2 linked regions of the Nothobranchius furzeri genome follow. The protein of the gene in region 1 binds, or shares a complex with, the protein of each later gene. Links are inferred from orthologs where the notes say so. Each region holds a gene or a part of one and is shown in the gene's direction. Other genes may lie near its edges. The genes, in order: prpf4 and lsm3.

Region 1 (3,823 bases):
AAACTGGCAGTAGGACTGGGAGTTCAGCTTGACTCCATCCTCAACCCGAAAAGTCCCCACAAGCTCATCTTTGATGATACCAGCCCAAACCAGTACTCCACCTCCACCTTGCTGGTGTCTGAGTCGGACTGGAGCTCTCTTCCCTTTACCAATCCAGCCACGGGCCCATCCATCTGGCCCATCAAGACTCATTTCATCAGTCCATAAAACCTTGCATGCCGGACACCCACTCATGCTCCCCATACACACCCTATTCACTCTGGTCCCGGTACTGCTGCACATAGGGTACAACCATCACCGGTTACCAGAGTTTGACCCTTTCTGCTGGGGTGCTGATGAGCAGGCTCCCCCGCCCAATGCTGAGCACAGCAACCCACCACCCCAGACCCCAACCAGACGGCCAGATCTCCCTCCTAGCCTCCAGCCCCAGGAAGCCAAGTGACAACAGAGGTGTGCTAAGACCCCTAGTCTCCCTCCGCCTGCTCCAATATGGTTTTAGTGAGTGTTGATGAGGTGTATTCCATGGCTGTGGTGAGCGGGCAGTGCGGGCATCATCTGGCCTATGCCAGCTGATGCCACCACCACCTCACTTGCACCCACAGCCCTTAGTGTCTAAGTGCAGTTTAAAATTGGAAGTGGGCACCGGCACTCGGGATGAGGCCAAGAAATCCCCCTGCCAAATGCTGTTGAATGTGCTCACTCCCAAGGCCCTAAGTGTGTGTTTGCGTGGAATGTCGTCGGTGGAAGTGTTTAAGGTGCAAATAAAATTAAGGGGCAGGTTGCCACAGGAATGTGGAAATGGGGTCCATACCTGCACTCCCTGACTTGTCCACCCCTCAAGGTCCTATGTGCATGTTTGTGTGATGATGTGAGGGAGCAGGAGGAGAGAAATGTGTGGGGATGGGGAGGCCCCTAGATAACTTTAACCTTCAATAACTTCAAAAACCGTGGTCAGAATAGCATTAAACTTGGTCTGTGTCATGACACCACCAGTGTGGTAAATATAGAGTATCCCCTAGTGGTGAGATGTGTAATTTATTGGTGGGCTCAGAGGAGATGCTGAGTCAGGGTGAAGTGCAGACGAGGAGACCGTTCGCAGTTTCTGATGTTGGGGTCAACGTTTCTGTTCCGCGGATGTGCCCGGGTACACCGGGCCGCAGAGCTGCGAGGGCCGAACGACGCTGCTTGCAGCTTTAATTACTTTTTGTTCTTGTGAAGCGCCTTGTGATTTTTATCTTGAGAGGTGCAATGTAAAAGACTAATTCTTCTTCTTCTACTACATACAAGTGTCATTAATTATAAAAAAAGGTTTTGCTTAAATCACGACTTTTCTCGTTATTTTGTTTAGGAGAGACTCTGGAGATGGAAGAGCGGGTCAGTGAGCGGCAGCAGGAGGTGCTTGCAGAGTTTGAGCGGCGCAGACGAGCACGGCAGATCACTGTGTCCACCGATGACACCGAAGTTAAGGCCGGCCTCCGAGCACTAGGCGAGCCAATTACATTGTTTGGAGAGGGACCAGCTGACCGTCGCGAGAGGTGGGACAAATAACATTTGTGCATTTGTTTGATAATCTGACTGTTTCGTGGTCAGCTTACACTCAGCCAATCAAATTGTTTGTTTACAAGCTGATTTGAGTCTTATGTTGTTTTAGACTGCGCAGTGTTCTGTCCATTGTTGGACCTGATGCGCTAAAAAAGTCCAGGAAGGATGAAGAGAGAGTCAAAAGGTCACATGATGAGGTAAGCAGTTATACAAGTACTATGTAGTACCTTTCAGTACTTTGTCTCTCCCACATTTTCAGACCATTCACCTGTTTTATGTGATTGAATTTTGCCTTGCCCTCCTCCTGTGGCTGATGTTGGCATGCTTTAAATGCAGAAAGAGTTAAGAGTTTGTTGAGCTTTTAACTTTAGAGGAAGAGAGGTTGAACTCAATGTCTCTCAACGCTGAGGACTTTAATTTTGATTCCATCAGCAGGAATATTTTGGATATAGGTGTGTGTGTGTGCGTGTGGGTGTGTGTGTCCCAAGTCTAGGAAACCTAGACAAAGAAGGGAGCCTTGGCTCTGTGAGACCACTCAGGCATGTAGGTCTGAATGTAGGACTGCAGAAAGATGGCGAAAAAAGGATCATCTTCAGTATTCGAGCATTATTTTTAGAACTTCCCTGATGAGACATTTCAGCCTGGATTTAGGGCTGGACACAGCACTGAGTCTGCACTGTTGATGGTAGGGCTGGGCGATATGGCCTAAAATCAATATCACGATATATTGAGGATTTCACCTTGATAACGATAAATGGACGATAACCACAGGTATGCACAGAAACAACAGTTGTCCACTAGATGGGGCTGTTGCATGTATTACGTTAAGTCACATTTTTATGTGACTCAAGGTAGGGCTGGGCGATATGAACCAAAACTTATATCTCAATATATTTTTGATGAATTCCGATATACGATATATATCGATATTTTTTTCTCCTGTAAAACATTTACAAGTTAACTCTCTTCAAGCTGTCTTGAGAAATTATACATAAATCAGTATATTAAATGCATAAAAATGTATTTATTCTTGTCAAACTTTAACCTTAGCGCCTATTCTCTGGTACAGCTGTCTGTTAGAATACACACACCCACACACATGCCTGAAACCGCATTTCTTCTTGGTAGATTTTATGCGTAGCGATCTTTAATTCATATCAAAAGTATTTTTTTACATTTTAGGGTTTGCGTACCTGTTTGCAGAATTTTCTTGAATTTCTTTTAATACCATATCAAATTTATTAATAAAATCATTTAATAACAGCATGGCAGCCGACCAAAGTGCTGTACAAATTAAAACACAGTACACATATCAATAAAGACATAATCAACAATAAAACCACAAAAAAGCATAAAACATAGTCTGTAATAAAACACATTGCAACAATTATAGTTCATGGGTGTTGAAATGCCAGATCATAAAAGTAGGCTTTAAGTGATGAGTTAACATCAGTGAGGGACGGCGCCAGTCGCACGAGCGTTCCAGAGGGTTGGTGCAGCAAACACAAAAGCATGTCTCATAGAGGGAACACAAAGCAACAGACAGTCAGCCGACCTGCACATAATCAACCAGGTCTGCTAGTTAAGCTAGCGCTCATGGCTTTGAAAACGAAGGTTAAAATCTTAAACTTCATGGGGAAAAACTAAGATCTGACCACAGCATTAATCTGGTAGGCCATTGAAAGGTCAGAGCCCAATTTGACCCCAAGGCTGGTCACAAACTGCTTCATGTCATAGCTGAGAGCAGCCAAAGCAGAGAGCAAGTGTGAAGCTTTGAAGATCCATGAGACTTTCCTCAGATTTTCACTAATTTGGGTTTAGAAAATTGTCAGATAGTCAGCTCTTCACCTTTGTCAGGCATTGGCTGTGAGAGCATTTGGGTTGTTTAAGGTCAGGTAGATCTGACAATCATCTGCATACAAATGATAGCTTAGGCCAGGGGTGTCAACTCATTTTAGCTCAGGGGCTACACTGAGGAAAATCTAGTCCCAAGTGGGCCGGACCGGTAAATTAAAAACAACTTTAGATTGTTTTCTTTGTTTTAATACAATCGATATAAAACATAGCTGGAGCCCGAGGACAGTGTATCCAAAGTAGTACAAGTACAACATCACTATTAATAAACCACCTGATGTGTACTTGAACATTAGAAAAACATTTTTTTTTAATAAACATTCCTTAGTGATTCAAAGAGCTTTCAGATCACATGGCTAGATCAGTTTCATGGTAAATGGCCTGTATTTGATATAGCGCCTTCTAGAGTCCTGGAACCCCTCAAGGC
Region 2 (4,573 bases), on another chromosome or scaffold:
AAGTAAATAACCTTGGAGGAATAGCTCCTTCATCACGTTACAATGCTTAACTTTCTCACAGCACTGTTGAACTTTTTTATAGAAATCTGCTGAACTTCAGATCACTGAGCCAGAAGGGCATGGAGCTTGCAGAGCAGCCCACCAGTTTCCATGCTCCTGTCCTGTCACCAGACAATGAGTCATACATAAGGGTTTGGATAAAAATAAATAAATAAATAAATCATGTGTCCCAAACTGCACCTGCACACATTTTCTAATGAATGGTTAAAAGCAATAAATCAGTGGAGAAAAACAAGTGATTCTGAAATGCACTGCCAAGTTCTTGCAACTTCGACATCTCATGGGGCTTAAAGGAGATGTACAGTTGGATGTCATCTGCATAAGATGGTTGGAGATTTCTTTGAAGGAGCTCAGGATGTGCTGAAGAGGGAGCAGATAGAGGAGGAAGAGTAGAGCGCCCAGCACAGAACCTTGTGGGACACCATGGGCGAGGGAGGTGGTGGAGGACCCAAACTTGGAGACGGCCACAGAGAAGCACCTAACCCTAACCCTAACCCTCAGACAGATAAGAGGAGAACCACTTCAGAGCAGATCCTGATATGCCTACCCAGTCTCTCAGCAAAGCTGCTGACACACAACCTTCTCCAGAAGTTTCAAATTGAAAAGGAGAATAGAGATTGGCCTGTAATTGTCTGCACAGAGACATCAGATTCTGGTTTCTTCAGGATCGGTTTACTGACTGCAGCTTTTAATGCAGTTGGAACCACTCCAGTGCTCAGGCTGCCGTTAATGATCAGACGCAGAGACTGACCCAAACACGGAAAGGCCTCCTTCCACAGACGAGGTGGCAAAACATCGAGTGGAGAGCTAGACGACTTCTGCCCTGAGACAAGCTTAGACAACTCAGAATAAGAGAGTATTAAAATAGCTCAGGGTGGACTGTATTGGAGTAACTGGATCAGGGTCTGTAGATGAACCAAAAATAGCAGCTCTAATGGCAGAGACTTTGCTAGTGAAAAAGTTGTGAAAGTCATCACATTCTCCAGCAGCAGTAGAAAAAATGATGCCAGAGTCCTGGTACACTGAGACAGAGTTAAGCGTTTTATGGAGAATTTTTGAATTGTTACAGTTTGTATCAATGATGTCAGCAAAATAGCCCGTTCTAGCGACCCTCACAGCATCAAGATCAAGATACTCTAAACATCTAATGGGAGACCTGTAGGTCTATGCCCGTTTATGTGCAGCCTACAGTTACAACAACCGGCGTACAATTTGAAAACAGATCAAGCGGGATTACTAGTAACTTTACAAGCCTACCTCATGGAATTCTATATTTAAATATATTTTAATTTATTTTGTTAAATTATATTTATATTTTAATTATCATGCCATATATTGTATCAGCTTTTGTGAAAAAGCTTGATAAAATGCGTTTTTTAGTTGGCTAAGCACCTTCCTAAGTAGAAATTAATGCAGTGGGGGCGAATGGAGACCCAACTAAGATGGCGGTCGGCCACTACGGCAGCCGTCCACGGGGCGTCTACGTATATATGACTGCGACCTCAGAGCCCATTGAGGCACTAGGCCAGTTAAAGCATCATGGCGGATGAAGTGGAGCAGGTTCGTTTGGTTGCCGTGTTTATACACTTTTGTTCGTTTTAGCGTCTGTGCAGTTGCTTGACTTCGTCGCGCATTATTAACTTTATGCATTTCTTTAATCTAAGGATACAAGCGTAGCATTTTGCTAATTGCTAACACGGTTTAATTGTGTTTAGGCCTGTGAAACCGGTTAGCCCACATTCACCTAGCGTTCAGCTCATCCTAAAATTATCAGTAAGCGCGTAAAAGTTACCAGATTCTCACAAATGAAAGATTAATGAATGACTTTTCCCGTTATGTTTGTCTAGCAAATTGGACAAATAATTAATATTGAGTTTTCTTTAACTATTGTGTTTAGTTATTAACTTTAGTAAGTAACGAGTCTCAACAAACTGTTTGGATCAAAGTTTATGATTTAAAATGAATATTTCTAAGCTGTAATGTGCAATTTAATTGAAAATAAAGATATTAGTGACAAAGATACCATAGTGTTAATAAGTCATGAGACGTTTAATTGGTTTGATCAGTACTTCTGCACACTCTCTTTACATTTCCTATCAGATGGTTTGTTTTCTAAGCCCTGGTCTTTAAAGGCAAGCCTTAACAAAGCTGTACAGACACAACAAAAATGAATAAATAACAATATAAAGACTCAGCTAAACAATGTTTGGATATTAGTGATGCATCGATATAAATTTTTGGACCGATACTGATATCCGATATTAAGATCACTGTTATGGCCGATAACCGATATTTGCCGATACCGATATACACTGACATTAATGCTTCCAAAATCTGCAGATTTTATATAGAATGAAAATTATTAAAGCTGGATTTACATTATTGTGTACACACAACACACACATTTACGCTTCTGAGGTGATTACAATCACTGTCACATGATTAAACAAATACACATCACCCCCCTCACCCTCTGAAACTGATAAACAAATGGAGACGAGATAGAAAAATTAATATCGGCCCGGTTTTATTTATGGGACCAATACCGATATGTTTAAAAATGACTAACATCGGCCGATACCGATATTGATGCCGATATATTGTCCATCCCTATTGGATATTTTTAATCTAGATTTTTAAAAACATTTCCGGTGAGTGTAAAAAAACCGACTAGTTTTGTTTTTAAATGTTTGCTATTTGATGAATATGCCAATAAAAAATGGAATCCGTACATTGATGATTATTTTAATGTGTTCCACAGCAACCACCTACCAACACGGTGGAGGAGCCTCTCGATTTGATCAGGCTCAGTCTGGATGAGCGGATCTACGTGAAGATGAGGAATGACCGGGAGCTCCGCGGTCGACTACATGTACGACACACACACACACACACACACACACACACGGTTCAGAAGATCCAGTTTTTTCACAATACTTGCTGATAAAACAGGTAAAAAAAATAAGACTGAAAATTCTAATGTCAGTAAAACAACTTAAAAGGTGAAACTAATCTATGAGACAGACTCATTCCACGCAAACCCAGATATTTCAGCCTTTATTTGTGATGATTATGGCATTCAGCTGATGAAAACCCCACATTCATAATCTCAGACAATTAGAATATTGTGTTCAGGTAAATATTCTAGTGTCAGACTTTTATCAGCTGATGAATCCAGAACACCTGCAGAGGGTTCCTGAGCCTGTAGATGGTCTCTCCATCTGAGCTTGATTACTGTCATAAATGGACTTTTGCACCATATTCTCTTTTGTCCAGTTTCACCTGTATGTCCTAACTAATGTTTGCCATCTGGTCCAGGCGTATGACCAACACTTAAATATGATCCTGGGGGATGTGGAGGAGACGGTGACAACAGTGGAGATTGATGAGGAGACGTATGAAGAACTTTATAAGGTCAGTTTTTATGAACAAACATAGAAAAACCTCTCTAGCCACATTTCTACTGAACAGCTTTTGTTTTGGACTCTTTGCTGTGTTTGCTTAGTGGCAAACTTGTGCCACTGTTGGGTGATGCTTAAAGATCCATCAGATGCAGAAACGTTAAACGATGTTAACTTGTCACTTTAACATAACGCTGAATAGATCTGCAGAAAGTAATAAAACAGAATTTTAAGATTCTACGAGGTTTCATTATTGTTCATGATCAGAAACTCAAGTTTTATTTAAATTTGACGGTACTTTAGTGAGTATTTAAATAAAATATCTGTTATTTAAATGTTTTTACTGTATTTGTTTCTTTAGTCTACCAAGAGGAACATCCCCATGTTGTTTGTCAGAGGAGACGGCGTTGTCCTCGTAGCTCCGCCTCTCCGAGTCGGCTAAGCCCCCCATGCCTGACAGGATGATGTAACTGCTTCTGGGAAGTGTCCATTTTTGTAGGAGAGTGTTATAAATCTTCATTTTCCTTATGCTAGACTGTTATTTCATCTTTAAATTTCATGTGAATCAGAGGCTCTTCTCTAGGGCAAAATGTCTGAGGGGGGAAAAACCCAGGAAGTATGATGTGAGGACACTTTTTTTTATTTTTTGACACATTCTGGGATTGTAAGAATCGGCCTCAGTAGATACTATTATTTTTAGTAGAAAAACATTTTTCTGAATCTTATCAGTTCCGATTGAGTCATTCCAGTGTTTATAAAGACTCGGGTCCCCTTGTGAGCGAAATGTTTGTTAAATTGCTCAACTTTTATGTTGATTTTTAGCTAAATGATTGCATTTGAGTCCCAGAACATTCTTTTTCTTTTACATGACGTTAGTGTTTTATGATTTAGTCATGCTCAGGTTTGAAAATTTTGTTTTTATGTGGTTGAATAAAAAGTGAAAATAAGAAAGTTATACTTTTTATTTAATTTTTTTTTATTCAACAGTTTTTGGCATACAGAGTCGTAGAGGCTAAAGCCTACAGGTATTTCACATTAAAAGTGTAGAAGACTGAAAATATTTTTTAATGAATATTTCTGATCCTAATGGGTCACTCTGAGTGTTTCATGCA

The links.
Region 2: prpf4 (region 1) and lsm3 share a complex: the UniProt entries of both Homo sapiens proteins name them as parts of the precatalytic spliceosome. The link is inferred for Nothobranchius furzeri from reciprocal best matches to the Homo sapiens genes PRPF4 and LSM3.

Annotation. Positions count from the first base shown.
Region 1 is NC_091746.1:69,549,277-69,553,099, reverse strand, and holds part of prpf4 (U4/U6 small nuclear ribonucleoprotein Prp4), read left to right. Parts: intron 1-1,348; coding exon 1,349-1,535; intron 1,536-1,651; coding exon 1,652-1,739; intron 1,740-3,823. UniProt on the Homo sapiens protein: Plays a role in pre-mRNA splicing as component of the U4/U6-U5 tri-snRNP complex that is involved in spliceosome assembly, and as component of the precatalytic spliceosome (spliceosome B complex).
Region 2 is NC_091743.1:73,197,325-73,201,897, reverse strand, and holds lsm3 (U6 snRNA-associated Sm-like protein LSm3), read left to right. Parts: upstream 1-1,533; 5' UTR 1,534-1,599; coding exon 1,600-1,620; intron 1,621-2,821; coding exon 2,822-2,932; intron 2,933-3,378; coding exon 3,379-3,474; intron 3,475-3,822; coding exon 3,823-3,903; 3' UTR 3,904-4,412; downstream 4,413-4,573. UniProt on the Homo sapiens protein: Plays a role in pre-mRNA splicing as component of the U4/U6-U5 tri-snRNP complex that is involved in spliceosome assembly, and as component of the precatalytic spliceosome (spliceosome B complex).